Elephas maximus indicus: one gene and its partner. Each later gene encodes a partner of the first gene's protein in a complex. Links are inferred from orthologs where the notes say so. Each region holds a gene or a part of one and is shown on either strand. Other genes may lie near its edges. The genes, in order: BNIP5 and BAK1.

What was found.
Region 2: the proteins of BNIP5 (region 1) and BAK1 are in contact, whole or in part, in a crystal structure (PDB 8IGC), measured with the Homo sapiens proteins. The link is inferred for Elephas maximus indicus from reciprocal best matches to the Homo sapiens genes BNIP5 and BAK1. Residues at the interface, in NP_001010903.3 of Homo sapiens: Ile246, Ile247, Gln248, Met249, Ile250, Val251, Leu253, Leu254, Lys255, Arg256, Val257, Gly258, Asp259, Gln260, Trp261, Glu262, Glu264, Gln265, Ser266; in NP_001179.1 of Homo sapiens: Leu78, Ile81, Gly82, Ile85, Tyr89, Glu92, Phe93, Met96, His99, Leu100, Tyr110, Lys113, Ile114, Ser117, Leu118, Ser121, Asn124, Trp125, Gly126, Arg127, Val129, Ala130, Phe134, Ala180, Leu183.

What each region holds. Positions count from the first base shown.
Region 1 is NC_064819.1:100,033,756-100,049,469, reverse strand, and holds the start of BNIP5 (protein BNIP5), read left to right. Parts: upstream 1-8,972; 5' UTR 8,973-9,242; intron 9,243-9,278; exon of another isoform or gene 9,279-9,285; intron 9,286-15,714.
Region 2 is NC_064819.1:96,357,488-96,373,338, reverse strand, and holds the start of BAK1 (bcl-2 homologous antagonist/killer), read left to right. Parts: upstream 1-9,942; 5' UTR 9,943-10,195; intron 10,196-12,284; 5' UTR 12,285-12,315; coding exon 12,316-12,385; intron 12,386-13,722; coding exon 13,723-13,858; intron 13,859-14,213; coding exon 14,214-14,357; intron 14,358-15,458; coding exon 15,459-15,639; intron 15,640-15,778; coding exon 15,779-15,851. Other genes in the region: gametogenetin-binding protein 1-like, read right to left, coding at 3,587-3,637, 5,584-5,723, 6,679-6,829, 7,045-7,139, 7,673-7,761, 8,473-8,951. UniProt on the Homo sapiens protein: Plays a role in the mitochondrial apoptotic process. Upon arrival of cell death signals, promotes mitochondrial outer membrane (MOM) permeabilization by oligomerizing to form pores within the MOM.

The DNA of each region.
Region 1 (15,714 bases):
CAGTTTTCCTGTCCCCCCCTGCCTTTAATCTTGTTTTTTTTTTTTTTTTTTTTTAATGGGCTGTCTAATCTTTGGATGAGGGGTGAACCTCAGGGGTGACTTCATTGCCGAGTTAAAAGGGTGTCCGGTGGCCATACTTTCAGGGTTTCTCTAGTCTCTGTCAGGCCAGTAAGTCTGGTCTTTTTTTATGAATTAGAATTTTGTTCTACATTTTTCTCTAGCTCTGTCCAGGACCCTCTGTTGTGATCCCTGTCAGAACAGCCAGTGGTGGTAGCTGGGCGCCATCTAGTTGTACTGGACTCAGTCTGGTGGAAAAAATGGTCCATTAGTACTTCGGACTAATCTCTCCCTTGTGTCTTTGGTTTTCTTCATTCTTCCTTGCTCCCGAGTGGGTTAGAGCAGTAAAGTATCTTAGATGACCACTCACGGGCCTTTAAGAAAAGAGACGCTACTCACCAAAGTAGAATGTAGAACATTTTCTTTATAAACTATGTTATGCCAATTGAGCTAGATGTTCCCTGAGACCATGGTCCCCACAGCCCTCAGCCCAGCAATTTGGTCCCTCAGGGAGTTTGGATGTGTCTACAGAGGTTCCATGACCTTGCCATGTACAGGTTGTGCTGGCTTCCCCAGTATTGTGTATTGTCTTACCCTTCACCAAAGTTTCCACTTATCTACTGTCTATTTAGTGTTTTTCCATCCCCACCCCTTCCCTCCCTCGTAACCATCAAAGATTGTTTCTTTTTGTGTGTAAACCTTTTCATGAATTTTTATAGTAGTGGTCTCATACAATATTTGTCCTCTTGTGATTGACCTACTTCATTCAGCATGACGCCCTCCAGATTTATCCATGTTGTGAGATGCTTCACAGATTGATCATTGTTCTTTATTGTTATGTAGTACTCCATTGTGTGTATGTACCATAGTTTGTTTATCCATTCATCTGTTGATGGGCATTTAGGTTGTTTTCATGTTTTTGCTACCGTGAACAATAGCAGTGAACATGGGTGTACATATGTCTATTTGTGTGACAGCTCTTTTTTCTCTAGTGTATATTCCTAGGAATGGGATTGCTTGATTGTATCATCATTTCTATGTCTAGCTTTTTCAGGAAGCACCATATCGTTGTTCATGGTGGTTGTACAATTTTACATTCCCGCCAGCAGTGTGTGAGAGTTCTAATCTCCCTGCAACCTCTCCAACACTGGTTATTTTGTGTTTTTTGGATTAGTACCAGTATTGTTGGGTGAGATGGTATCTCATTGCAGTTTTGATTTGCATTTTCTCTAATGGGTAATGATCGCGAGTAATTTCCTCATGGGCCTGTTAGCTGCCTGAATGTCTTCTTTGGTGATGTGTCTGTTCATATCCTTTTAATTGGATTCTTTGTTTTTTTTTACTGTTAAGGTTTTGTAGTATCTTGCAGATTTTAGAGATTAGATGCTGACTGGATTTGTCATATTCAAATTTTTTCCCCAGTCCGTAGGCTGTTTTTTTTTTACTCTTTTGGTGAAGTCTTTTGAGAGCGTGAGAGTTCTAATTTTTAGGAGCTTCCAGTTATCTAGTTTCTCTTCTGTTGTTTGTACACTGTTAGTTATGGTTTGTATACTACTTATACCTTGCATTAGGACGTCTAGCATTATCCCTATTTTTTCTTCCATGTTCTTTATCATTTTAGATTTTATATTTAGGTCTTTGATGCATTTTGAGTTAGTTTTTGTATGTGGTGTGTGGTATGAATCTTGTTTCTTTTTTTTGCAGGTGGACATCCAGTTATGCCAGCTCCATTTCTTAAAGAGACTGTCTTTTCCCCTTTTAATGGACTTTGGGACTTTGTCAAACATCAACTGCTCATAGATGGATGGATTTATCTCTGGATTCTTAATTCTGTTCCATTGCTCTATGTATCTGTTGTTGTACTAGTACCAGGCTGTTTTTGACTACTGTGGCTATATAATAGGTTCTAAAATCAGGTAGTGTGAGGCCTCCCACTTTGTCCTTCTTCTTCAGTAATACTTTACTTATTTTGGGCCTCTTCCCTTTCCATGGAAACCCTGGTGGTGAGGTAGTTAAGTGCTATGGCTGCTAACCAAAAGGTCAGCAGTTCGAACCCACCAGGCACTCCTTGGAAACTCTATGGGGCAGTTCTACTCTGTCCTATAGTGTCGCTATGAGTTGGAATTGACTCGATGGCAGTGGGTTTTGGTCCCTTTCCGTACAAAGTTGGTGATTTTTTTCTCCATCTTGTTAAAGAATGCTGTTGAAATTTGGATCAGGATTGCATTGTATCTGTAGATTACTTTGGGTAGTATTGACATTTTCACAATGTTGAGTCTTCCTATCTATGAGCGTGGTATGTTTTTCCACTTATGTAGGTCTCTCTTGGTTTCTTGCAGTAGTGTTTTGTAGTTTTCTTTGTGCAGGTCTTTTACGTCCCTGGTTAGATTTATTCCCAAGCACTTTATCTTCTTGGGGGCTGTTGTAAATGGTATTGATTTCGTGATTTCCTTTTGAAAGTTCTCTTTGTTGGTGTAGAGGACATTTCATCATTTTGAGCCTCAGTTTCCCAATCTGTGAAATAATGATATATATTTTATAAGTATTATTGTGGGGATAAAAATAATATATGTAAAGGCTTTGTATGTAGGGCCTGACATATAATAAACATTCAATAAATAGTTGTTATTGATGTCAGAGTCCCTGCATGGTAAAAAAAAGCTAACAGACTAGCTGCTTACTGAAAGGTTGGTAGTTTGAGTCCATCCAGAGGTGCCTTGGAAGAAAGTCCTAGAGTTCTGCTTCTAAAAAATCAGCCATTGAAAATCCTGTGGAGTGCAGTTCTACTCTGATACACGTGGCGTTGCCATTAGTCTGAATCCATTTGAGGACAACTGTTGTTGTTATTCTATTAGCAGTAATTATACTGTAGACCATAAGAACCTTGCTCAAGTTTGTGCACGTGGGATTGAAGAGCTGGGCTTGTAGTGCAGCTCTGTCCAATGCCAAAGCCATGGCTTTTCCACTCCATCATGATGGCCACTCCAAGTTGCCCTAGCAGGGGAACCCAGGAATAACTTAGGGAGGGAAGAAGATACTGGGAGTCACTGGAGGGGCAAGAAAAGTTACTGACTTCTCAGGGAAGAGTGAACAGGAATGGAAATTTGTTGAGCACTTTATGCACAAGATATACATTTTGTTATTTTATATACCAACTGAAAGAATATTCTGAGACTCCCTTCTTACCAGTGGACTTTGGTCTTGGTCCTGACCTGGCATGGAAAAGGGCAGCGCCACAGACTTTTAGGTACTTCTCACAGAGGAGGGGGAAGAAGACACCTCTCTGGGGAAGCCCAGTGGGCTGGAGGCCCAGACACAAAGTGGGAGCTGGGTCTTGAATGGGAACATGCCCTCGATTCCAGACAGAGGGTGTGGCCCTGGAAGAAAGAGCGTGTTCACCCGTCAAGCCTGCTCTTTGCCCCTGGAATCACCAAAGGCCGGTGATACATTTTCATAATGTAAACCCTTTTGCTGGGATGAGGGCAGATTCTGGGAAGCTGAGTTCCATGCTCTCTAAGGTTTGAGTGTCCCTTGTGAAAATTCCACTAAAAAATATGCTCTCAGAACCACCTCAGCAACAATTCCTGAGGCTCCTCTACCAGCCCTTTTAATTTGAGACCGCTTCATTTTCACTTGGAGTCCCTGGGTGGTGCAAACTGTTAAGTTCTCTGTTGCTAACCGGAAGGTCGGAGGTTTGAGTCCACCCAAGAGGCACCTCAAAAGAAAGGTCTGGTGATCTACTTTTTTTTTTTTTTAATTAACTTTTATTGAGCTTCAAGTGAACGTTTACAAATCAAGTCCGACTGTCACATATAAGTTTATATACACCTTACTCTGTACTCCCACTTGCTCTCCCCCAATGAGTCAGCCCTTCCAGTCTCTCCTTTCATGACATCTTTGCCAGCTTCCCACTCTCTCTATCCTCCCATCCCCCCTCCAGACAGGAGATGCCAACACAGTCTCAAGTGTCCACCTGATATAATTAGCTCACTCTTCATCAGCATCTCTCTCCTACCCACTGTCCAGTCCCTTTCATGTCTGATGAGTTGTCTTTGGGAATGGTTCCTGTCCTGGGCCAACAGAAGGTTTGGGGACCACGACCGCCGGGATTCCTCCAGTCTCAGTCAGACCATTAAGTCTGGTCTTTTTACGAGAATTTGGGGTCTGCATCCCACTCATCTCCTGCTCCCTCAGGGGTTCTCTCTTGTGCTCCCTATGAGGGTAGTCATCAGTTGTGGCTGTACACCATCTAGTTCTTCTGGTCTCAGGATGATGTAAGTCTCTGGTTCATGTGGCTCTTTCTGTCTTTTGGGCTCATAGTTGTCGTGTGACCTTGGTGTTCTTCATTCTCCTTTGCTCCAGGTGGGTTGAGACCAATTGATGTGTCTTAGATGGCCACTTGTTAGCATTTAAGACCCCAGACGCCACATTTCACATGGTGATCTACTTTTGAAAAATCAGCCATCAAAAACTGTATGGAGCACAATTTTGCTCTGACACACAAGGGTTGCCATGAATTGAAGTTGACTGGATGAGGCAACTGGTTTGATTTTTCATTTTCTCTCAAGACAAAAGTGTATCTTTTGTGTTCCCTTGTTGCATACCCAGGACATGCAAGGGGGTGCATAGCCTTTCTGAACAAACATATATACTCCCAGAAAAAAAAAAAAAAATCTCTCACCGTTTTGTGTGAATATACCCATTGCCATCGAGTTGATTCCAACTCATAGTGGCCCCATAGGAGAGAGTAGGACCACCCCATAGAGTTTCCTAGGCTGTAAATCTTTCTTTTTTAATTTTTATTGTGCTTTAAGTGAAAGTTTACACTGAGCGGCTGGTGGGTTAGAACCTCTGACCTTTTGATTAGCAGCTGAGCGCTTTAGCCACTGTGCCACCAGGGCTCCTCATGAATATGTCCAGAAAAAAAAAAAAAAACAGAACCCAAACCTATTGCCATCGAATGAATTCTGAATCATAGCAACCCTGTAGGGCAGAGTACAATTGCCCCATAGGGTTTCCAAGGAGTGACAGGTGGATTCGAATTGCTAACCTTTTGGTTAGCAGCTGAGGTCTTCACCACTGCACCACCAGGGTTTGGTGAATTATACCACTACTTATTTAGTCCTTTTATTGTTGATGAGTATTTGAGTAGTTTCGAGTTTTTGTCTATCACAACTAGTTGAGAAACATTTTTAATTCTCCTGAAATCCAGATTTCAATTCCATGGAATTGGAGTGACCCTCCCAGTCCATTGCTCTGAGATCTTCTTTCGAACCTTGAGCCTGGAGAAAATTGGTTTCCTAAAGTCACCTTTAAGTCAAAAATCACCTACTAAGTACCTTAGTAAAGACCATTTTGTCTTAGGCATTGGGCTCTTTTGAAGAATCATTTACATACAGTCCATTTCCAGAAATAGAACTTCTAAGGCCTGACTAGAAGCTGTGCTTAAGGGTAACTTGTTATTATATCAACACTGTTCTGGCCCTGTTTCCATGGCAGTGTCGATGATATGGGGTATAAGAATCTTTGGATGTTCTTTAATCTTTGGAACATTTCTGACTCCCTAGTTGAATGTTACCCTGATTTGTAAATCATATACTAAATAAACGTTGATCTATTTCTATTGTTGGCTTAATATGATTTTTGTTTTAACATAGAGTTGATATGAACACTCTCGTAAATGTGTTTTTTTGGGGGGGAACCTGTGTAAGCATTTCTGTTGTGCGTCTGCCTAGGGGTGGAATGGCTGGGCCATAGGGCAGGTGTCTGTTCATTAGTAGAGATTGATTGGCACACGGATTTCTAAAGCAGTGTATGATCTTCCACTCCTTTCAGCAATGTATCAGGGTTCTGATGGCTCTGCATGCGCGTCAGGTTGTTCTGACACTGGGTGTTGTCGGTCTGAGGACCTACAGCTGCACCACAGTGTGGCTGAATCTCACAAACATGGAGGAGCGTGGAAAAAGCCAGGCATTAAAGAAAGCATGCAGTTTGACTCACATTCATATGAAGATCAAGAACAGGCAAAACGACTTGTACATCAGCTTCGTAGCAGTATTATTCACAATAGCCAATGGTGAAAATGACCCTAGTGTTTGTCAGCCATGCATGGATCCACAAAACGTGGCATCTTTTATAATGGGATAGTATTTAGCCATAAAGAAAAATGAAGTCCTGATACATGCTATGACATGGGTGAACCTTGAAAACATTATGCTGAGTGAAGTGAGTCAGGTACAAAAGGTCAAATATTGATTGGTTTCGCTTACAGGAAATATCTACAAGAGGAAAATGCAGAGTGACAAAAAGTTAGTAGATTCGTGGTTACAAGGGGCTAGGGGGAAGAAGGAATGGGAGTTATTGCTGAAGGAGTTCTGAGTTTCTGTTTGGGGTGATGAAAAGCTTTTGGAAATGGATGACAGTGATGGTAACACAACATGGTGTATGTAATTGCTGTCGCAGAATTGTACACTTAAAAATGATTAAAACGGTAAATTTTTTGTTACATATATTTTACCACAATCAAATTTAAAACAAAACAAATAAAAAACAGACAAATCTAATTGAAGCTGTCAGAAGCCAAGATAGTGTTTCCCTTTGGGGGGTCACTAACTGGAAAAGGGTGTGACAGGGAATTCTAGGGTGCTGGTAATGTTCTCTTTCTTAATCTGGGTGCTGGTCACCTTTGTGAAAACTCATCGGGCAGTATACTTATGAGTTGTACACTTTTCTGTACGTTGTCTTTGAATAAAATGTTCAAAAAATATTCTCTGTCTCCCTCTCTCTTTTCCTCTGCCATCTTTTCTCACAGCATTTGGTTGGGGTCTGTCCCCATCGGGGCTGCCTTCCTGGGCGTCGACTTGTGCAGTCACACAGATGCCAGTGCTCAGGAGAGCTGTGCTTGATTTAATGCTCTCATGCTGCCATCTTGAAATTCGTAGTACTTTTTGAACAAGGAGCCCTGTATGTTCATTTTACACTGGACCTCACACGTTACGTGGCTGGCCCTGGCCACCAGGACAGGCAGCTGCTAGTGGCTGTCCACAGATCCCTGGCCCAAAGCTTGGCCTTTGATGGGCACTAAGGACAAAAAAAAAAAAAAAAAAAAAACAGGGCATCCTAATTAGAGAAGTTGTAGAGTGCGCATGATAGCCCCATGACGGTTCTACCTTCTGTGAGAATCTTTACCAGTGGTTGTCAAGTTGACTTGCGTGGCAACACCGTGTGTGTCAGAATATTACTGTGCTTCACACAGTTTTTAATGTTCGATTTTTTAGAAGTAGATTGCTCGGCCTTTCGTCCAAGGCAACTTGGGTGGGCTTGAACCTCTAGCCACTCAATTAGCAGCCAAGTGCCTTAACGGTTTTAGGGACTCCTGTGGGAACCCAGAGGAGACCTGGTGGCACAGTGGTTAAAGTGCTAGGCTGCTAACCGAAAGGTTGGTGGTTTGAACCCATCAGTGGGTCCACAGGAGAAAGATGTGGCAGTCTGCTTCTGTAACGATTTACAGCCTGGGAAACCCTACGGGGGCAGTTCTACTGTGTCCGATAGGGTTGTTATGAGTCGAAATCGACTCCTTAGCAATGGGTTTGGGTTTTAGTATGGATGGGAACCTGAAAGTGTACATATTGCTGGGTCACAGGACAGGTACATGTATAATACCCCATTTGGCTCTGTGCTCCTGCCCTTCCACCTGGGTTTATGATTATCTCTGTGTGTGCCTGTCTTCCCAGCTACACTATGGGTTCCATGAGGCCCAGGCTTGGCTTATTCACCTCTGAATAAGAGAGAGCATGTACATTGTGCAGAGGGCATGAGGGAGGTGGTTAGTCAAATACAATATGGAAATTTATTTAACCCTTTTTTGAAGCCTGGGCCATCTCTTAGGATCATGAATTCTCTAAATTCAGCTCTGAGATAGCATTTGCACAGAGCCCAGCACCTGTTTGTTGACAGAATGAAGGAAGCATTAATAACTTCGCTACCAAAAATAAAATAGTGGCCCTTTACCAAGGATTTATTAGGTGCCAGGCATTGCTAATACAAAGAAGCATCTTAGAAAAATGCCTGGCACATAGTAGGCACTCAATACATTTTCTTCTTTTCTTGGTAAGTATCATCCCATTCAGTCCTCACAATCACTCTCTGAAGTGCATTCAAAAAACGCTCGTTTTATAAGTGCGGAAACAAGCTCAGAGAGATTGTGTCCCCTCGCCAGGGTCAAGCAGCTGACAGATGGCTTCAGATCTGGGAGGCGCCAAAGCTTAGTGCTTTCACTATTTACTTTGCGTTATTTCCCCATGTCAATTAATTAAGGTGGGACTTAAAACCTTTTTTTTTTTTTTTGCTTCAGTTTAAATAGAACTAGCTTTTTTTTTTTCCTGATTATAAAAATGATACGCTCTCTATAAAGAAAAATGCAGACACTATAGAAAGTGAAAATCTTAGATTTCTTAGAATGTTCTTTCAAGATTCACGGTGACCCTGCCTAGTAGCAGCAGGATTTGGAAAACATGCCCATTCTCAGCTCTTCCTTCTGACTTTGTCTCCAGGTTGAGGAATATGTGTATTCCGTTGATGACCTCCCTTTCTAGGTCCTTCCCTCCCTGCTGGTCTTGGGAGAGAACCGAGGGAGGTGGTGGAGGTGATAAAATGCCTGCAGAACAGGAGTGACGGTTCTCCTCCTTTCCTGTATCTTTGTTTCCCATAAAGGCTTGTTTACAAGTCCATAGACCAGCCTTCCATCCCCAGCCAGACCTGAGGTTGTTCTATGAGTGGTTGGCTTCTTGGACTTGGGTGCAGTAAGGAAGTTATCAAGTGAAACTATTTTTTCCAGGGGAACTGAGCTAAGCCTCCTGTCATTGGAGGAGCGGGAAGCAGCTGCTGTTGGGTCTGGCATAGCAGGTGCAGGAGGCGGCCTGCGCTCCAGCCCCGGGATTGGCTGCCTGTGAGCTCAGCAACTGGTAGACAGGATATATATGACCAAAAGCATCTTCTGAGCCATTCTGAACGTTGGCAACAACAATAGCAGCATCTTCTCCCTTGGAGAGCAGAACCTGACACCTTATCCCATACACCCTCCAGCCGACAGGGAGAGGCGCCCAGCTGCTGAGGGTGGTGACAGACGCAGAGCCCCCTGACTCCGTGACCCCGGTCTGCAACAGGAGGGACTTTCGTGGTTCAAGGTTGGTGAACAATATTCTCTCCTTTGGGGGCTGGAGAAGTTGGGTAGGTATTTTTGGGGTCCTGAAAGGGGGGTAGAACCAAGAGTCAGACCCTGAGTCAAGTCTCAATTCTGCTTTCTAGTTTGCTGGGGCCTCTCTGGGCCTCGGTTTCCTCATCTCTAGAAAGAGTAGGGATCCATTAAGTGGCCTCAACCAAGTCTCTTGTGAAAAGCTCTAAACTAATTTGGAATTCTAAGCTCTGAACTCAAGTCCCAAACCTGCTGCTTGCTAGCCAACAGCCCTGAGCAAAGCCCTTAAATTCCCTGAGGCTAAGTTTCCTCATCTATAGAACGGGGCATCGTGGCCTACCAGCAGGATGTGTAAGTCAAGCTGCAGAGTGTATGTAAAGCTACATAGTACAGGGAGGTATTATTGTCTATGCCTGCACCTGGATTAAAGTTCTATGATTTTAAGTTTTTTAGAAGTTAGTCCAAGGAGGGGGGGTCTTATGGAAAGAACTCTGGTGGCCTGCAGCTCTGATGGGGGCTTTGGCGCTTTTATATGCAGTTGCCTTGAGGTCTTGGATAGAGGACGTGATAGAGGGAATGAGGTATGGGGTGTGGTGGGGGCACCTCTGGGGCACACATTTGAGGCGTTGGATGGAAGGGGAGCGGTAGTCATTTTTGGAGTTCTCCAGCTTTGTGGATGACGGCTCCACTGCCCCCCACTCCTGATCTGCCCACTGCTGTATCCCCGTGCCTGGAGTTCCACCACCAAGGACTTCATCCTTTGGGTTTTGAAGGCTCCCCCAAAAGATACAAATCTGTACCGTTTGGAACACTGATAATGGGTGATACGTGTGTGGTGGTGATAATAAGGAATAGGCAGATGGCCAAATCCCACTGCTTTCCACTGAGGTGCGGGCCAGCCCAGGTGGAGCTCGTGCTCTCCACCTGTGATGTGGTTATTCACTTGACTTGTGTGATCTGAGGTGCGTTAACGGAGGCATAGGGTGCAGACACCCCTGGGCTCTGCTGTGGTCAGGCCCTGGATAAGGATCAGCTGGGGGTATCTAGAGATGGTGCCCAGGCTCATAATGGGCCTAGAGACAGTGTGATCTGAGGAACCACCAAGAGATCTGGAGAATTGGGGATGTTCCGCCTTATCAGAGAGCACTCAAAGGGGTGACGTGACCCCTCCTCAGGTGTGTGAAGACTGCCGCTGGTTGATTCTAGCTCAGTGTAAGGTGGACTTTTCTTAAAATCCATGCTGGCTAGTAGTGGATAGTTTGACCTTGAAAGGTGGTAAATTCCCATTGCAGGAAGTGATCAAACAGAGGTTACAAGACTACCTGCCAGGAATGTGGCATAAAGAATTCCTATACTGTAGAAAGAGGGTACTCTAGTGGTGTAATGGTTAAGTGCTATAGCTGCTAACCAAAAGGGCAGCAGTTGAAATCCGCCGGATGCTCCTTAGAAACTCTATGGGGCAGTTCCACTTTGTCCTATAGGGTCGCTATGAGTCAGAATCTACTCGATGACAACGGGTTTGTGTTTTTTTTTTTTTCTAATACTATAGAAGAGGAGCTCTGGTGGTGCAGTGGTTAAGGGTTCAGCTGCTAACTGAAAGGTCAGCAGTTTGGATCCACCAGCCGCTCCTTGGAATTCCTATGGGGCAGTTCTACTCTGTCCTGTAGGGTCGATATGAGTCGGAATCGACTTGACTGCAACTGATTTGCTTTTGGATACTATAGAAGGAGCCCTGGTGGTGCAGAGGTTAAAAAGCTCAGCTGCTAAGCAAAAGCTCAACGGTTTAAACCCACCAGCTGCTCCATCAGAGAAAGATGTGGCTGTCTGTTGCTGTAAAGATTTCTTGGGAACCCTATGGGGCAGTTCTACTCTGTCCTATAGGGTCACTATGAGTCGGAATCGACTTGACAGCAACTGGATTGGTTTTGGTTTATATTATAGAAAAAGGAGGCCTGCTAGCGCAGTGATTAACTGTTCGACTGCTAGCCAAAAGGTCAGTTGTTTGAACCCATCAGCGACTCCATGGGAGAAAAGACCTGGTGATCTGCTTCTATAAATTCTACAGCTAAGGAAACCCAATGGGACGTTCTACTCTGTCATATAGGGTCGCTATAAGTCGGAATCAATTTGACAGTACGCAACAATAACAATGTACTCTAGAAGGTGGGGCTAGAGACTTCTCAAGTCTCTTCCAAATCTAGGAATCTAACAGGTAATCCACAGAGGAGAAGAAATACCTCGAATGGGTAGCATCTCCCATAAAATTACAGCCTAGGAAACCCTATGGGGCAGTTTCACTCTGTCCTATGAGTCAGAGTCGACTCGGTGGCAAAAACAAAAATGCCTGGGATGCAGGCGTGGGCGAAGAGTGGACCCAGGTGTTAAGGAGGGAAGAGATGGTCACTTTGTCTTGTCCACACCTCTTCCATCCAGTCCTGCAAATGAAGGTTGAGACTCTTCTCCGAGGAACCTCCACACTGTATGTGGAGAGGTGTGGAGAGCAAACTCCATTGCCCTCACCACAGATGTGTCCTTGAGAGCTGCACTGGAAGCCACACCTTCTCAGGATCCCAGGTTGAAGTCTTTGAGCTTGGACTGGCATGACAGCCTGGGTGTGAGTGTGAACGATACCAATGAGAAGCCATGAGCTTACAGTGCAGTCCTTGGCCCTCCAGTTGACTGACTCGTTTCCTTCCCTGGTCTGTGCACCCCAGGTTGTGTATACAATCATTGCCTCTGGACGTTGGTGTCTATATCTGGGCAAATGTGGACATCTGACTCTGTGTGTATCAGTTATGAAAGGCATGCATGTGGATGTGGTTATTTCTGTTGGTGTGACCTTAGCAACTTCGCTCACCTGTAAATCCTTGGTGTAAGTCCATGCATGTGTGTGTGCCTGTATTTATGGAGGCCAGTTGGTATAAGAGAGAGAAGATGGGACTTAGAATCAAGAGGAGTGGATTCAAGTCTCAGCTTTCAACTTCCTAGCTATAGGGCCTTGGGCAATCTCTTAATATCAGAGCCTCAATACTCCCACAGCTAGCCTGATTCAAAGATCTGGGCAAAGATTACATGGGATAATATAGATGAGAGGGCTCTCTGGGTGCAGTGTGGCACAGCGGAAAGTGAGCTGGTTTTATGTCTGCGTATAGCTCATTCCCTCCATAAACACTGAGAGTCTCCTAGATGCCATGGACACAGCAGGTGGGTCCTTTGTTGCGGAGGGCAGGTGGCAAACAGTTACATTGGTAATTTTTTTTCCCAGTTACTGTTCAGTAGATTCCAACACATGGTGACCCATATGTGCCAGAGTAGAACTGTGCTGCATAGGGTTTTCAGTGGCTGATTTTTTGGAAGTAGATGGCCCGGCCTTTCTTCTGAGGTGCCTCTGGGTGGACTCAAACCTGCAACCTTTCAGTTAGCAGCTGACTATGTTAACCATTTGTATCACCTTAGCAACCTCATTGACAATTCTTCCCTTACAATTGGGATTGGAAAAATACAAGGTGTTATGAGCCCATGAAGGAGCGCCAGTCGTGTAATAGTTAAGTCCTTGGCTGCTAACCGTTTGGCGGTTTGAACTCACCCAGTAGCTCTGTGGGAGAAAGATCTGTCGGCCTGCTCCTGTAGTGATTATAGCCTAGGAAATTCTATGGGGCAGTTCTACTCTGTCACATGGGGTTGCTAGGAGTCGAAAATCAATTTGACAGCACCTAATGACCACAATGATAATAACAACTGGCATACACGAGTGTGTCTCAGTGACACGTGTGCCTGTGGTTCTGATGTGTGGGTCCACACGTGTGTGCCCACACCCACTCCCTCTGGGATCGGCGGGTATGGGTGTATAGCAGTAGGGTATTTGTTAAATACCTGTTTTGTGATGGTTACAGGTGTGGGGAAGGGAAATGGTAAAATCTCTACGTGACACACTGCAAGAGCAGTCACAGAGTGAAGCAGCTGCGTGAGCAAATTAGAGATGAGTGGATACATGATATCAGTGTACAATTTAGAAAATAAACCAAAAAAGGTGGTAGGCTTGGGAAAAACGGCCGAGCTTCCTGCTCCATAGTAACCCGAAGTCAGTTTTGCGTGCTTTCTTTTGTTTATTGTTGTTTTTAAACACGTCACTGGTATATGTCATGTCTTATCAGAAGTCATGTGATCTGCTGATTAGTTGGGTGTTTATGAGCTGATTTGGACTTTGCTCTGAAATTCACCCTCTGTCAAGGCAACAAACAAGTTTATAAGAGCAGCTGGGTTTCCAGTAACCCAATGGGTGTCTGCTGCTGTCACAGGGTTGCTGGTCTGGAAGCACGTCCTGGGCAGGGTGGGATTCCCCGATGGTCAGACTGAGCATTGGGCAAAGCAGGGGCGCAAAACAAGAAAAAAGAGGAAGGAAAAGGAAATCCTGCTTTGATGAATTCTAGATAAGCAGAATTTTACAATCAGGAAGTCTAGAAAGATTTAATTTCAGCCCATGTAGAATACGAAGTTGGGGGAGTAATATTAAAACGGAGTCCCTGGGTGATCCAAATGGTTAATGTTGTTTGGCTGCTAACCAAAAGACTGGAGGTTTGAGTCCACTCAGAGGCACCTCAAAAGAGAGGTCTGGTGATCTATTTCTAAAAAAATCAGCCATTGAAAACCCTGTGGAGCACAGTTCTACTCTGACACATGTGGGGTTGCCATGAGTAAGTCAACTCAATGGCAAGTGGGTAATATTAAAACAATTGCTTTGGGGCACGCAAAACACACCCTCCACAGAGAAGTTCCACAGAGTGTTTTATTCTTGGGGGTGGAGGGGGTTTCCCTCTTTGGCTCAATCCCTGGGGCTAGAGACCAAAACGGGGGACACAAGAGTTTGAAGACAGAACCTTTAGAACATTACAGAGGAGGAGTGGTCGGAGAGGTAGCAGGAGAACTGGGCTGAGCTCAGCCCTCCCACCCTCTCCCTGCCTCTGGGGCTGTGGCAGCTGCTGTTCGGCTCTCTCTCACTTCCCTCTGGGCTCCGGGCACTGGTTGTCCCAGGGAGGGGGTGGCCAAACCAAGGCAGATATTTTTGAAAAATCTTAAAAAACAATACTAAACTAAACCCATCGCTGTCAGGTCGATTCCGACTCATAGCGACCCACAGGACAGAGTAGAACTGCACGCAGGGTTTCCAAGGCTATAAATCTTTGCAAAAGCTGACTGTCACGTCTTTCTCCCACAGATCCACTGGGTGAGTTCAAACCACTGACCTTTGGGTTAGCAGCCGAGCCCTTAACCACTGGGCCACTAGGGCTCCTTCAAGAAGGAAAAACATGGCCTTGTGGAATTATATTGATGTTTTGATTGGAAGTAGCAGTGTGTCCTTCGAAAGTGGTAGGAGGACACTGTGGCCATCAGCAATTGTGAAAACGGTTTCCATAGCAATGACAGCTCCTTAAAAGATGACTGCGCCTCTCTTCCCATCAGCTGGGTACAGACGCTCTGGCCCTCCCTGTGATGGGCTCCCTCCAGCCAAGTTAGTACAAGAAGAGCAGCAGAGCTGAGCAAAAGGGTCCTGCGTGTTTGGCTGGTATTATGGTTTTGTTGTTGAACAGTTTATCTGCCAACCCCACCCAATTTGCCCTGACCACAGGAACGTACAGGAAAAGCAGAGATTCCTGGCACTGCACAGTCAATATTTCTTTCTGGCTCAGTTTACTTTGATCTTAAAATCAAACAGACCTTCAACCTAAATGTATCCTCTCTCAAGACCATGTACTGCTAAAGAGAGCAGACTGTGGGGTAATGGAGACCAGGATATTCTCTTTGAGGGCACATGCTGCGTCTTATTGGTTATTCTATCCCTAGCACTGAGCAAGGAGTCCCTGGATGGTGCAAAGAGTTAACGTGCTTGGCTGCTAACCAAAAGGTGGGCAGTTCAAGTTCACCCAGAGGCACCTCAGAAGGCCTGGGGATCTCCTTCGGAAACACCAGCCATTGAAAACCCTATAGAGCACAGTTCTACTCTAACACACGTGGGGTCACCATGAGTGAGAACTGACTCGATGGCAGCTGGTACTGGCACTAGCACTGAGCATAATTCTGGGCGCACAGCGGTGCCTGTGAAACAGGGAAAAATCTTTCCCTTTGTGATTTCTTCCCCTTGTTCCACCCTGTACTGTGTTTTGGAAGCACAACCATAAGGCAGCCTCTGAGGTGGGCAGTTTCCACATGAGGTACTGTTGTGTATTGCTAAGCGTTTTCATTGTAACCCAGGTGTTCCTTTTAGGGAACGTTAAAACCCAGGTAAATCCTTGTCTGCCTCCTCCCCTGGCCCATTTTCTCGGTTCTGCTAAGGTTGTCCTTATGTGGACACCCACAAGTGCTGGTTCCGGTCCTGACTCTGCTGTTGACTGGCTGTGAGATCTGGGCCATGACCTCAGTTTCCTCTTCTGGAAAATGGGCATAATGATACACCTTCCCTCCCAGGG
Region 2 (15,851 bases), about 3.7 Mb from region 1:
GATCTCCATCTCATTTCCCAGCTGGAAAATAACAGTTTTACCTTCCCTCTCACCCCAGCTGGCTACCAGTGACCCCAGTTGGGGACCCAAGCAGCATCCCCCTGGGGTTCCTGGCCAGGGGCCTCCAGGGAGGGGCATCCCACGGCCTCCAGCTTTGATGTGCCCAGATTTCCCTCGGTCCACCTATCCTACTCCCAGCTCCCAGATGGCCCCACCTACTGCCTTCCTTTCAGCCACCAGTGAGTCCCCAAAATACCCTCAGGATGGACCTCAGGACTGCTTTTCTCACCTCTGTCCTACCAGGGATACAGTGAGAAAAAGACAGACAGACAGACACACACACACACACAGAGAAGCACAGGGAGAGAGAGAGAGACAGAAACACACAGGTACCAATAGAGAGAGACAATAGATAAAGGAGAAGAGAGAATCCCAGACAGTGACAGAGACTTGGCAAGTCCTCACATAAAGACCCAACTTAACTTCCATGGGCCTGACCAGGGCCACTGCCAGCCCAATAGACCCTTTTGGACAAGTTAGAAAAAGGCTCCCCCTCAAGGTGGACACAACACTGGCAAGGGAGCATGGCTGGTGAGCCGAGCCCAGTGGACTGGGTTTCAGATCTTTCTTGCCCTTCAGCCTGCACAGCTGTTCTTGGCAGCCCTACCCTGGCTGTCTGTACATCCAGGAGAGGACGGCACCTTTAAAACACAACCAGTTCCCAGGTCTGACCCACAGATGTGTCTGCAGTGTTCCCTCAAGGCCCATCGGACATGCCTGGCCTGTCTCCATGTTGGCCTTGAGCCCAAGACCCACCCTCTACACTCACTCTCGGGGCCTCCCACCATCAGCTTCAGTCACTGGTAAACGGTACATGATCCCCACCACTCCCCCCCAACCCCCCTGGCCTGCCGATCCACAAACCAGTTGTCTCTCCAGGATGAAGGCCTCACCCTAAGACCTGATTGATTGTTTGGGGGCATTTTAGACCCCACAGCAGGTCCTTGGGCCACCTCGCCCCTGCCTATCCCACCCATGAGTGACTGGCCAGGCCCATCCACAGAAACCAGCCCAGGAGCCCTGTGAGGCCAGGAACAAGCCCTCATGGCTGTGGTGCACGCAGATCCCCCTCCTGCTACAGCTACAGGACCAGCTGCCACACTTCCTGGTCTCAGAGGCACTCTCCTCTGTAGTCACAGGAATCTTGGGAGTGGACTGGAGATAGCCTGTTCCTCACTGACAGAAAGGAAAAATGAGGAGCAGAGGAGGGAGGGACCAGCCTGGGTCCCAGGTAGTAAAACCAAAGTTTCTGCTCTGCTCACTACCCAGCAGCCCCCACCCTGTGGGCTCTGAGATTGAGATGCTCCTGTCCCTGAAATGGGGTGGCCACAGCCCAGAAGCTGAGGTGGCTTGAGTGACCACTTTATTCTCAAAAGAAGTCAAGGATCCTGAGCTGCCAGCAGGGGCCCAGCCTACCTCAATCCTGTGTTATGCCTTCCTGTGCCCAGATAGGCCCAGGAGGCAAGCCTGACCCAGGGGGCAATGGTACAGGATAGGCAGAAGCTCTGTACTGGGGGGATCGGGGCCTGGGATTCCCTCTCCAACCTAGGCCTGATCAGAAGGAGAGGTGTTCTCTCCATGGGGCCCATAAACAGGGGGTGGGGCCAGAGTGAGTGCTATGTCCATGTGGGCTGGGGCAGGGGCCAGGTGTACCCACGGAGCCCACAGGCCACCCTTCAACCCCCCCCATTAATGGTCTGACTGAGACTGGAAGGACCCCGGAGGTCGTGGTCCCCAGGCCTTCTGTTAGCCCAAGACAGGAACCATTCCCAAAGCCAACTCTTTGGGGTTGGACTAGACTGTGGGATAGAAGATGATACTGGTGAGGAATGAACTTCTTGGATCAAGTAGACACATTAGACTATGTGGGCATCTCCTGGCTGGAGGGGAGATGAGAGGGCAGAGGGGGCCAAAGCTGCCCGAATACACACAAGGAGAGAGAGTGGAGGGAAGGAGTGTGCTGTCTCATTAGGGGGAGAGCAATTAGGAATATATTTAAAAAAGCAAGGTGTATATAAATTTTTGTATGAGAGACTGACTTGATTTATAAACTTTCACTTAAAACACAATAAAAATTAACACCCCCCCGCCCACACACACAACAGCCTGCACTCTTGGAGGAAATGGTTAGTAGGACAATTAGGGCACAGGTGAGTCATCTGGTCACAAGGCCACCTCCCAGCTGACTCAGGGGGACAGTCCAGATGGGTCTTTCCACCAGCCCCTAGCTCAGAACCTGAGTCAAGGACTCCATTGACTCTGGCCAAGAAGCCCAGGAGAAAGCCCTCAGCCCCATTTAAGAGATGATAGCCTCTCTGAGCCCTCCCCCTTCTGATTGCCACCCTCCAGCCGGATTGAGGGGTGGAGGGGACTTCCAGCTTCACTGGGCTGGGCTGGGCTGGGGCCAGGTGTGTACAGCTCCCCACCTCAACCCAAGCATGTGGCTATGGGCTCATCTCTCCAGCAAACATTTGTTGCTATCAATCCTAGTAATTATTAAGAATGGCAGCCATGTTCTGACATTGAACTTCAGCTCTGCAGCAGTCCTCAGATTGGACACAGTAATGAAGGACGTGGTAGGGGTCAGTGGGGAACGTCAGACAAGCTACCATAAACAGGAGTGCTGCTCTCTTTCATATATATGCTTAGAAGCTTGGCCTGCACCCAGGCAGAGGGGAGGAATTGGCCATCCTCCAAAGCAACAGGTTTACAGGGAGGTCAGCAGAGCCTCCTGACAAACAGTGCCCCCTGGTGTCTAAACCAGGACTACCCCCCCCAACCATGGGGTTGCAAAGGATGGTTGCTCCAGCCTGGGACCCGCCCCTCCTGCATCAACCCCAGGGACCTGTCGTCTGTTCTCCCAGCCCAGGCCTCCTGAGTCAGGGGCCCTAAATAGCTGAGGCGGTCCCCAGGGTCCCAGGGCCGCTGCTTTCCTGGCTTTGTCCCTTAGCTAGCTGGGCAGGAACTTCCTGCCAGAGAATTCCCGGATCCTCCTGGTGAGGCCACAAACATGGCCTGGGAACTTGGGGAACTCGAGGAGGGAGGGATGTCAGGGAAGCTCCTCCCAGCAAGCGCAGGACTGTGGGCAGCAGGGCCTCCCTGGCAATCTGGAGGTGGGCTGTCTCCCACTCCCATGTTGGGCCCACCCTACCTCCCGTCCTCCTGGCTCCAGGGCCCTGCTGCAGAGATCCCACCAGAGACCAGGGCTCTGCAGCCACACCCTGGCAGCCCCCAGGGTACAGACTGGGGATTAGACTGAGATCCTGGACAGACTGGGCTTGGATGAAGCTGAGGATGAAGTGGTGGGGTCCAAAGACAGACAGAAGAGCCACCAAAAGCAAACTGGGTTTTTATTACCAACACTGCAGGCCTGGATCCAATGGTGGGGCAGTGCTGGGCCAGCCCACCCTGCAGACACAAGGACACTGGTCATTCCAGGACCGCTTGGCCCTAGGGGCTCCTTGGATATGCCCTAAGAAGAGGGGGACACATCCCAGGCAGGGCAGACTCAGGGCCAGTGCCCGCTTCACTCTGGAGGCCAGTTCCCCATCTCGTCCATCTCCTCGAGCAGCAGGTGCTGGGGGCAGAAGGGGTGAAGGAAGATGCCTCAGCTTTTTCGGGCTCCCTCCCGGCCCTGCTCTGCACCCCATAACCTTCCCATCTACTCCCAAGTGACAAGTTCCCAGAACCACCTTTTCTAGACCTTCCCCACATCCCCACAGCTGACCCAGCTCCCTCCCCCACTACTTCATGGAGGGACCTTTCTCCCTCCAACTTACGGGAACTCCTTGGAAGTTCCAGGAGTCAGGTACCACAGCCAACCCCTCCCTTCCTTCACCGCTGTCCTGGACACCATGCCAAGGGGGCTTGGTGCCCTCCCCGCCAGTTTAGGGTGGTGCTTCAGCTGCCTCAGTGCCCCTCCCCCAGGTCCCCAGCATTCCCCAAAGGTGGGGAGGGACTTCCTTCCCCCTCAGCTTGATGTCCCTGAGGGCAGATACAGAGAGAGTGGGGGGAGGGGATGATGAGGCCAGGACCCTTGAAACACCCAAGCGAGAGAGGTATTCCTGAGGCAGCTCTGTCTCCAAAGTGAGGACTGGGCTGGGCCCTCACTTGCCACTACCCAGGGACTCCCTGAAAAAAAAAAAAAAGCCAAACCCATTGCTGTCAAATCGATTCCAGCTCATGGTGACCCCATGTGTTACAGAATAGAACTGCTCCATAGGGTTTCCTTGGCTGTAATCTTTTCGGAAGCTGGTCACCAGACCTTTCTTCCGCAGTGCCACTGAGTGGGTCTGAACCACAAATCTTGAGGTTAGCAGCTGATTGCAAATCACTTGGTACCACCCAAGGACCTTAGGAACTCCCTAGGCCCCCCAATACTGCACACGCTACCCCAGAGCTGTGACCACTGGGACTGGGTTAGGTTCCCACCGCCAGCAGGCAGGCTGGCTTAGAAAGTGGTTCTGGAGGAGCAGGGAGGGATGAGAGCAGACTGAAAGAATCAGAATCCTGAAAAGGGAACAGTGAGAAGGCCCTGTCAGAGCTATTGCTCTGTGCGGTTGTGGGTGAGGTGACGCAGCTTGTTCAGCACGGTAGAGGGGGCTCCTGTGAGACAGGCGTGAGGGCAGGGTTAGGACAACGAGTAGGATGCCTTTCTGTATCCATTACCCCCAAGGAGTGAGAGTAAGAAGATCGTAATCCCTGGCACCAGGAGTGTCCTTACAGCTATGGCTACATACTCTTCATCTCCCAGATCCTTGCAGGTGGAGTAACCAAGGCCTATATTCAAAGTCACAGAGCAAGTCAGGCGGAACAGGCACTCTGACCAAAGAACTTGGTCTCTGAACCCTATGCTCTTGCCTTTTCTCAGCTACATGGACCAAGAGGGGCAAATCCTGAATGAAAGACTGAACTGATGAATGAAATGGAACTGAGCTCAAAAAAGGCACAGACAGGTTTTCTAACAACAGAGCCATCAATGTGCACTCAGAGAAGCTTAATCTTTAAGCCCCAAGGCTGATGTCGGGGAGGGTGAGCAGGACGGCGGTCCTCAAACCCACCCAGTGCATCTATGTGTGTTTGTGGAACTGCGTGGGAGTGGGACAGAGAATGGAAAAACAGCAACATTATATGAATTACAGATGCACAGAAAAGCCCTACAGCCTGTCTGGAAAAATCCCCTCACTGTACAGATGAGGAAACTGAGGCCCAGAGAGGTGAAGGGACTTGTCCAAGCCCACACAGCAAGTGAGGCAAAGCTAAGACTTAAAAATGGACATCTGGGTCAGTGAGAGACAAAAAGATAGATGGAAAAGTGTGTGAGTGGGTGTGCCACACACACACACTCAAGTGCAGGGGACCAGGGTCCTAATCTCAGAAACACCATCACCAAGCAGAGGTTATATCTCCCCAAAGTGTAGACTGATGCCAGGGGCAAGGCCCTGTGAAGATGAGAGGCCTCCAACCCCACTATCTCTGGTGCCCGCAAGCAGAGAGCTGGAGGTCAGGATGGGCTAGACATACCTGGCCATCCACAACGCCCGCCTCCTCCAGGGTGATCTCTGGCTGGGCCAGCAGCTCCCGGCCCTCTTTGCTGCCCATCTTCCAGAGGCGGGACTCCCGTTGCACGGCCAGAAGCTTCTTCAACTCTGACTCCACGAAACCTGCGAGTCAAGTCGGAGAGGTGGGCGGGGAGGGGTGGAGGCAGGAGAAGAGGGGAGCAACCTGCTGGGGACCCAAGGAAGAGAAGGGGGTTCCTGTTCTCCAAATCTCATCCCACCCCTGTTCGATCTCTGGTCTGTAGCTCTTTCTTCTTCCATTACCTGGAACCAGCCAGATACCATCTCCCCACCACCCTGCCTTCCCCAGGAAGCTCACTTTCCGCAGATTCCCTCCTGCAAAGCCTGAAGACATGTAGGAGGGCAGACATCTGCCCCCCTCCCTCCAGCCACAAACTCAAAAGCATAGATCTAGAGCCCAAACTGCCTGGTTCAAGTCCCAGCTCTGCTACATACTAGCTGTGTGACTTTGGAGAAGTTATTTAAGCTCTCTGCTCCTTAGTTTCCTCACTGTGAAGTGGAGATAATGATAGGACCTACCTCATGAAGTTGCAATGTGGCATCATGTGAAAAGTACTTAGAATAGGGTCTGGCTCATAGTAACAGTTACGTAAGTGCCAACAATAATTTTATCGTATTATGTTATTACCACTAAACCAACTGCTCCCCATGTCTAGGCTGCTGCGGGGGCGGGGGGGGGGGGACACAGCAATGCATGATGGGAAAACCAGGAATGGAGGTGGCTTTCCAAAGTAGCTACAAGGCAATGGGCTACCCGATCTAGGCTGAGGAAAGGGTGGCGCTCCAAGAGCCTCAGCCTCAATCACAACCCCCATCACTGCCTCTCAGCCAGGAGGGAGGAGGCCCTTTCTCCTTCCGGCGAGACCCAGCCCAGCCACACCGAGGTAACACACGGATCGCCGGTCTGGGGCGATCATCTTAGGTCCTCTGATACCACCTGGTGGTCAGAACTGGTATTGCACTTCTGAGCCTCTGGCCAACGGGGGGCTCCCTGGGCCAAGGGGCAGGTTGGGAGGGGAGGAGGGGGCACCACACTTACCCACTGTATCCGTTGACCTAAAAGTCTTATGCAGTGGTGATTGGAGGGTGACAATGCCTGGGACACAGAGGTTAAATAAGCTGTCCTCTTCCTCCACTTCCTCTTCCTCCCCTTTATCCTTCTCTGGGGGCAAGCCGACCTTGAGAGGAAACTGGAAGGATGCCAGGTCTCTGAGTAAGTGAGGAGGGCCAGGGCCCACACTTGCAGCCTCCCTCCCCAGATTCAACAGGAAGTGGGAGGAAACAGCTCTCAAAGGGTTAAGAAAAGGGACTGCTGTCCCTGGGCCCAAGCCAGATTTGGGCATGGGGGAGGGGACCCATTGGGGCCTCACTCCCACCCCTACCACCCCAGGCTGGTCCCACAGACCTTGGCCATGGCTGATTTCTGGAGCTGCTTGTACAAGCTGAGGAGGTGGTTCCAGGGAGTCATCCCTGCCTTTGAGGAGGCCAGCTTGAGGTCTCCTGTGAAGGAACAGCAGTCACTGCCAGGCTGATGGCTGTAGGGGGTGGCCCAGGAGGGTAGGGATGTGGGAGGCCTGAGCTGGGAGTGGGGTTTCTTTGCTTTCTTTAGCAAACACCAATTATGTGTCAGGCACAATTCTAGGCACTTTACAAATAACATCTCATTTAATCTTTGCAATTACCCTGAGATAAAACCAAAACCAATTCGATTCCAACTCATAGCCACCCTATAGAACAGAGTAGAATTGCCCTATAGAGTTTCCAAGGAACACCTGGTAGATTCAAACTGCCAACCTTTCGGCACTACGCCACCAGGGTTTCTGCCCTCCGAGATAGGTACTATTATATGACCATTTTATAAATGAGGAGGCTGAGACAGAGAGGTTGAGAAACTTGCCATTATCACACAGTTTGGCAAGGTAGTTGGGATTCAAACCCAGGCAGTCTGGCTCCAGTGTCTCCTCAGACTGTGTCCTGTGTCCTGCCGGGCCCTACACCCCTGAGAAGTCCTAGAGGAAGAGGGCCACACTCACCGTCAAGCAGATACTCTTTCTCTTCCTCCCTGGTAAAGGTCTTGGCCCTCTGCAGGCATTCTTGCTCCACCTCCAGAGCCTGAGCAATCCTGATTCCAAACCACAGTCAGGTGGGGGAGGTGAGTAGGGCCCAGAAATATGGCAGGGGGTGCCCCAACCTCCCCCAAGGCTCTCTGACACACCCTACTCAGCCCCTTCCGTTCTCCCTCTCCCAGCAGCCCCCTGTTCTGCCCTCTGGGGTCTTTGTCATAGGGGGGGCTATCCCTTCCCAAAAGTCATGTAAGGAGGGTGTGGGGAGGTATGTCTCTGCTTCTTCACATGGGGTTGGGAAATAGGAGAGAGGGTGGGGAGGGAGGGCAGAGTTGAGTGGGCCTTGGAAAAGGAGGGTGGAGCAGGAGTGGGAGCCCCAACCACCCTGGCACATCAGCTCCTCAGAGCTGAGGGGACCTGGCCCCTCCCTCTTTCATTCATGGTGCCCCCATCCCCCTCACTTGTGGGGGAACCCTTGTCTTTGCCTCCTCCCCCACCCAAACCCCCCAATTCCAGGCTCTTCCCCTCACTTGATGCTTCCATACCTTGGCCCTACCTTTAATCCCTGGCTCCTTCCCCCACCACCTAACCGCCCAGCCCCCATACCCAGCCCCTGTTCAGCCCTTTACTCATCTAAGGACTACCGTTCCTGGACTCTGCTCAACTTAGGTCCCCTATCTCAGGCCCATATCCTTCCACCATCTTACATCCTAGGCCCTTTCCCCACCAGGGTTCCCCCATCGCCACCACCCACAGCCCCAGCCCCTTACCTGCCCGAGGCCCCTGTATCCCCAGAGGCCTGCCTTGCTGCCTCGTTCTTCTCTTCCTCCTCCTCCTTCTCAGACAGGCTGCCCAGCACCTCCTGACTTCCTCTGGGCAGGACCGACTTCACCTCTTTGCCCTGGGCCAGCACCTGCAGGATCTCCATGGGGGTGAGGGTCTGGGGCCACATATCCCCCACCCCCAGGCATGAGGGATCATGCAGTAGCAGGTGCAGGGAGCCCTTGGGAGTGGCTACCATGAGGGCATCAGGCAGCATGGAGGGTGGCTCGATCTTGCTCTCTTCTTGGCCCTGGCGATCCATCATGTGGACGGCATCCTGCTCTTGAGAGGGACACGTCCCACCTCTTGCTAGTCCCTTGTTAGAGCGCTTTGGGCTGCTCTTGCTCCTCATCAGGTTACGGAAAAAGCGGAACATGGAGGAGTGGCCCAAAATTCGGGGTCGGTGGGTTGGAGCTGGGGCCTCCATCCTGAAGGGGACCCTGACTCAGAGGGAGGAGCCCTAGTGGTCACCCCAGGACCAACTGCTTAAGAACAGGAGGAGTTTTCAAATGAAAACTTCCAGTTAGAAACTTCCAGGAGTTCTAGAAGGCAAAGGTCAGGTGGGGGGTGGGGTGGGGAGGGTGACTTTGGTAGGGCATGGGGTGGGTGGGAGAGTAGTTAGGGGCAGAGGGGACAGGCAGGTGATGAGACAGGGGGTCTGAGGAAGCTGGGGGGGATGAAGACTTGGGGGAGGGGATCTTGGTGAGAGCCCCAGGAGGCCTGGTGGGAGTGAACAGGAGAGGCTGGGAGGGACTAGGATCCCCAGAATGGGGCAGGGCACTGTCGAGGACTCTACCCATACCTCCACCCAGCCAGCTTTCTGGGCTTGCCCTGTCCCTGAGAACCATTTCCTGATGCCAGACAGTATGCGTCCTTCCTCTTCTCTGCCCCCTTAGCACCCAGCTCACGCATGCCCAGAGGGCAGCACAGACCTCACCATGTTTTCATCTCTGTTTACCTGCCTGTGATCGTCAGGGTTTTGTATCTAAGGTGCTGGCGCATCGGTTGAATCTCATTTATTATTATTATTCCCCGCGGCACCTACAGACCTGATTATAAACCCAGCTCAGTGACCTTGGGGGAGTACCATATACCAGCTGAGCCTCAGTTTGTTCATCTTTAAAATGGGCAGAGTTCACTGACCGTACCCGAAAGGGATGTTGAGAAGATGTGATGAGACAATGAGGTTGCTAAAGTGCATGGCACACGGGTGGGTGCTTAAGAAACTTCGCCATCCTGGCTTTTTTATTGGTGTTGATTGATGGAAGGGGTAAAAGACCAAGACAAAGCCAGGGAGTCAGGGGTAGACAAAGCAGTGGGAGAGGGGAGCCGCTCCATCCTGGCTGGATCTGGGGCGGGGCGGGAGCTGCCCTTGGCCTGGGAGCCAGGCTGAGAACGGGTGTCGCATCCGGCGGCCACAGAGGAACTTCCTCTAGAGGGAGCTGATTGGAGCAAGCGCGGCCCCGCACCTCTATGATCTGCAGCTCTGCGCGGGTCCTTCGGCCACGGGACAAGCTGAGGCGGCATCCAGACGCCGGGAATGCACTGACTTCCATTCCTGGAAGCCGGGCCTGGGCAGGCATCCTGCCCCAGAGAGCAGCCGCTGGCCCCTTGGGATCCCAGGCCTCGTCCCTGCTGAGCCATCCCCAGTCTAGGCCAGGCTCCGCGCAGGTAAGCTGGGGAGGTACTGCCCCTCCAACGCCCTCATCGCAGCCCCAGCCCCAGCCCCAGCCCCAGCCCCAGCCCCAGCCCCAGCCCCAGGGTGAGGCAGGGAGCTTTTGAGGAGGTGGATGGGGAAGGGGAGGCCTTCAGGGCTTGCCTCCACGGCTCCACCAAACTCCGCTGAGAGTTTGGCTGTGCTGGGGCTCCGTGCTGCTGACCCTTAGATGGCTTCCCGTCTTGCTGTGGCCCTGGGGTGCTGGAAAACCGGATGCCAGAGAACTGGGACCCTTAGCAGTCTGGAGGGTGGGGGTGGAGGTCAGAGCCAAGGTCAAGAGCCGGAGAGAACTTTCAGGGCGGTTCCTGCCATCCAGGAGCCCTAGACCGGGTCTGAGGCCTGATCAGGCATCTCCACTGGGGAACACTCGGCCAGAGTCAGTAGCAGCAAGCCCAGGAGGTGGGGGTAGAGTGGACTCCCCTTACCAGGAAGTTGGGCCACTTGGAATGGGGGACGGGGGTAGGCCCAGGTTGATGCAGACTGCTGACCCTGAGGACCCGCCTGCTCCTGGTAGTGAACCCCTGGGGTGGTGATAGAGGGGGTTGGAGGTGCAGTCAGCATCCTCCTGTCCTGTGGTCTTGGGATGCCAGGTTTCAGGGACCAGAGGGGAGGGAAGCCATCTTATCCAGTAAGAAGCTGCCCGGATGGGGTTGTGCCAGGCAAAGGCCTGCTTTAAGGAGGCCTGGTGCCCCCGGGCATAGGAGAGGGGGGTCTGCCTTAGGTGTGTCCCTGAGAAAGTGGAGGGGTGGAGAACTGAGTGCACAGGTGATCAACCTTTGCCCATTCCCTTCTTGGAGGGCTCCTGGGAAAAGATGGCCCCAGGCCTGAGAGGGAGGAAGGTGAAGGTACGGAGGCCCTCCCTGAGGAGGGGGCTGCTGTGCTTGGCTCTGGGTGGAGCAGCCCTCCTCAGGGCCAGGAGGATGGGTCATTCTCACCAGGGTGATGGAGGCATCTTCAGGGAAAATGGGGTCCTGGAAGGGGGTGCAAACTGAAAGTGAAAGCTCAGTCCAGGAAATGCTCTTTCTTCACAAACAGGCTTCACAGAGCAGATCGCTAGAGCAGCCCTGTGACCAGGACTGGGCAAAGGGGAAATTGGGGCAGGAGGGCAGCTGTGTGGTGTGGGTGCGTGGTGTGAGGCAGGGTGGGGGCTGTGAGGAACGCCCTGCTTCTTCAGCTCACTCCAAGGCAGGAGTTGGGAGGGTACAGGCAGGAGGTAAAGGGAAAATGGACACCCTCTCAGGTCCACAGACTGGAAAATAAATCTCCAATGAGTGTTGAGTTTATGAACTCACAGAGATTCAGAGAACCAACCTGAGTTTCCTTGACTAGCTATGTGGCACTAACCACCCCATGCTTCACTTCTCCCACCTGTGAAATGGGTACAATGATACTTACCTCACTGGGTTAATGTGAGTTTTCAACGCCCAATACCAGGCAAGTGCTCATAAGTGGTAGGAGTATATAGTAGGCACTCAGGAAATGTTTGGGGCTAGATAGCCTGAGTTGGAAAACAGGTGTGTTCTGACTGGCCAGGGGGAAGTAGGGCCTCCGAGAAGAACTTCATGGGTCATTGGCTAGAGGTGGCAAGCTTGTGGTAAGCGTTGCTGGGTAGGGTACAGGAGGTCCCAGGAGCAGCTGGAAGAACTAGTCTCACTTGAGGTGAAATGGGACTGAGCTCCACGAGGCCGCTGCAGCAGCCACACCCTCCCCAGAGGCCCTGGGTGCCCATTGAGGACACCAGGGTGCAGAGAGCTGGGCGTGAATCTTGACCACACACTCGGCATGTCTTTGGCTGCCTCACCTCTCTCACCGCACCATCTATTCAGGGTTACCAGTTAAAATGCTTGATAAATTCTGCTTTTGCCCAGCAGACTCCACAGGGACCCTCGGTGGTGGGATAAGAAGTGGCTAGAGCAAGGGCTGGGGGGTTGTTCCAGGAGTGGGGGAGCCCTCCCTGCTGTGTGGCCTGGGAACCTCTCTGGAATCCGCAGTTAGTACTCCTTGCTCATCCCTATCTCTGCTTTTTCTCACCCGTCCCCACAGGCTGACGCTGTCCTCCACTAGAACCTGAAAAATGGCATCTGGGCAAGGCCCGGGTCCTCCCGGGCAGGACTGTGGAGACTCTACTCCACCCTCCACTTCTGGTAATGATCTTCCTGCCCCCTCCATCACTCATCACATAACCACAGGGCTGTCTGTGTGCATGGAGAGAGTGGAAGTGGACAGGGCCAGGACTTGTGGGCAGGCTCTCCAGCCTCAGTTTCCCCACCTTGGAGAAAGGCCAAAAGTATCTCCCTGCCCAATGCAGGTGGCCTGTTGAGCTCAGAAGCTGGAGCTGCAGTCAAGTTTAAGCCCTGGGAAGGGGAGGAGTCTTGGCGGGGGAGGCTCCAGAGGCTGAGAGAGGCCAGGGAGTGAATGGGAAGATGGGCACTGCGCCATCCTGGGGCAGAGGGGTGGAATCAGGGGCTGAGGAAGGAGGAAAGAATGAGGCGTGGATGTTGTATCCTTGTAGGAGGAGAAAGAAGGAAGTAAATTGGCTTATCATCGAGTCAGGTCAGCTAAACAGGGAGAGCAATTGTGGTGACTTTGGGGGAAGAAGTAAGATGGGTGCCCTCCCTCCCTCTTCCAAGGGGGTGGTCAGGGAAGCCTGGAGCTCAGGGTCTACCACACAAGTCTAGGTCCCAGCTCTGTCCCTATTTCCCTATTTGACTTTTCTAGGCCCAAAGCCACAGTTTCAAATGTGTTTCTCATGTTTCTGGAGCCACAGGTATGGGTACCTTATATACACCAAAATACTCGGGAGCCCAAGTGCCTGTGATTATAGCCTGGCTCCCCTGCTTGTTCTAGCTGTGTAATCTTGTACAAGTTACTTACATGCCCCGTGTCTCAGTTTCCCCATCTGTAAAGTGGGGATCACCTACTTCAAAGGGCTGTTATGAGGGTTAAATGAAAAGTGTCTGTCTGGACAGTACCCAGCAGAGTAAGCATTAGAGGGTTTTTTTTTTGTATGTTTAAAAACACATTGTCATTGAGTTGATTCTGACTCATAGTGACCCTATAGGACAGAGTAGAAACTGCGCCATAGGGTTTCCAAGGAGCGGCGGGTGTATTTGAACTGCCGGCCTTTTGGTTAGCAGCCAAGCTCTTAACCACCACACTTCCCACTAAATGTTTACTAGATGTTAACTAAGGGGTGAGAGCCCTGGTGGAGCCAGTGGCTAAGAGCTCCTCTGCTAACCAAAAAGTCAGCAGTTCAAATCTACCATCTGCTCCTTGGAAATCCTATGGGGCAGTTCTACTCTGACCTATAGGGTCACTATGAGTCAGAATAGGCTTGACGGTAATGGTTTTTTTTATTAACTAAGGGGTGGGAGTAGGGACATTTCTGTTCCCAGGAGAGGACCACTAGCCTTGAAGAACCCACAAAGGGTGGGGTACTGGGATTGGCTCTCCCTCCCTGACTGTCAGCTTTGATCCTCAGAGGTGCAGGTAGCCAGGGACGCGGAGGATGTTTTCCGCAGTTACGTCTTTTACCGCCATCAGCAGGAGCAGGAGGCCGAAGGGGCGGCCACACCCGCTGACCCGGAGATGGTCTCCTTGCCCCTGGAGCCTAACAGGTGAGCAGTGACCCCGGGGCCCACAGGGACATCAGGGAGGAGGGGCCCACCCGGGGTCAATGGGTAAGTTCTGGACTTGGGGAGGCCTAGGGAGACTTGTCCTTCTCCCATTGTTGCTCTTTTTTCATTTCGGGTTCCCACACCCATCTGGGACCTTGCGCCATTTTATTTTAGCCCACACCTGCTCATTGCCCCTGAGCCCAGCTTTCATGTGCTGAGAACTCTGTCAGGGACCTCCAAGGAGGGGTGCACAGGGCCAGGGTGTCTTGAGCAGAACCGCTTTGCTGTGAGGCCAGCCCTACTGTGTGCTGTGTGCCCATTTGTCTGTTCACCCACCTGCCTCCCGTCCCTCCAGTGTCATGGGGCAGGTGGGTCGGCAGCTTGCCATCATCGGGGATGATATCAACCGGCGCTACGATGTGGAGTTCCAGACCATGTTGCAGCACCTGCAGCCAACACCACAGAACGCTTCCCAGTACTTCATCAAGATTGCCTCGAGGTAGCGCGGCCCCCTCTCCATGCATTCCAGCCACTGCCTCCCTGCTGTCCTGTCACTACACGCTGTGTCCCTACCCATGTGATGGGTTCCTCTAACAGTGTCAGCAGACCCGTCTCCGGTCCTGGATCTGCTGTTAACTCACTACTGGCCTTGGCTACCTGTCTTGCTCTCTCTGGGCCTCAGACTCCTCATCTTTTGAGCTCTGACACTGAGGACTTGACTGGTTAGACCAAGAACTTTAGAGAGGCCATGAGTGGGGATGTTCCCACAGCTCCCCAGCCTAGCTGTAAGACAGCCCTCCTTCCAGTCTGGAACCATGTTCCACACAGAAGATGGTAAGGTTGCTAACCTCTACCAGGCCCTAAGAATGGCTTCCATTTAGTATAATATGACATCTATGAGGCAATCTGGTGTAGTGGTTAGAGAGCCCAAAGCTAGGTTCAGATTCCAGCTTTGCCGCTTACTGGTTTTGTGAAACTTCCTAGCCCTCAGTCTTCTCATCTGTAAAATGAGGAAATTATGCTTATAGCACCGTCCACAGTTAGGAATCGCTAGCTATTGTTACCATCTGAGTGAGGGAGGTTCATGTCAATGCAGGTTTGAAGCTGAGGGTGAAGCTAGGAGTAAGTGATAGATTTAGAGTTGGTGCTAATGTCCTGCCCCTGTCCTTGGAGGCCCACTCCCACCCCCACCACTGTGTTTCTGGGACCTGTCCTAACCTCCTCTTCTGTCTTCTCTCTCGGCTGTCCCTCGGGCTGCCAGGCCAGCAGCAACACCCACAGGTAATCTCCCTGCTGCCTCCATCTGCTCATTCTGCCCTCTGCCATCTCCATGCCACTTTGCACCTGTAGACTTCAGGGCCACACCCTGGTGGCAGCATCCAGCTCAGCTGCCCTCTGAGCTTTCTCCTTTCACAGAGAACCAAGCTTTTTCCAAATCAAGGCCAGGCTGGGGCAGCCTCTGTGGCCTGGATTCACAGCTAAGCCATTTTGCTTTCCAGTTGGGAGAGGGGTGGGAGGTACAGGGGGTTGAAGAGGGACAACAGCCTGCTGCCTCCTGGGAGTCCTCAACAGACAATATGGGATGCTTTTTTACCTACAGCCTGTTTGAGAGCGGCATCAACTGGGGCCGCGTGGTGGCTCTCCTAGGCTTTGGCTATCGCCTGGCCTTGCACGTCTACCAGCATGGCCTGACTGGCTTCCTGGGCCACGTGACCAGCTTCGTGGCAGATTTCATGCTGAAGCACTGCATCGCCCGGTGGATTGCACAGAGGGGCGGCTGGGTGAGTGCCTGAGGGCTGGCCACATGTGCTGCAGGAGCTGCCCCTCCCAGACCTGCTCTGTCCCCAGGGCGGGGGCGGGGGGTTGTATGCTCTGCCAACCCCTCTAACCCCTCTGTCACCACCCTGTCTCTCCTGGCAGGTTGCAGCCCTGGACTTAGGCAATGGTCCCATCTGGAATGTGCTGATAGCTCTGGCTGTGGTTCTGTTGGGCC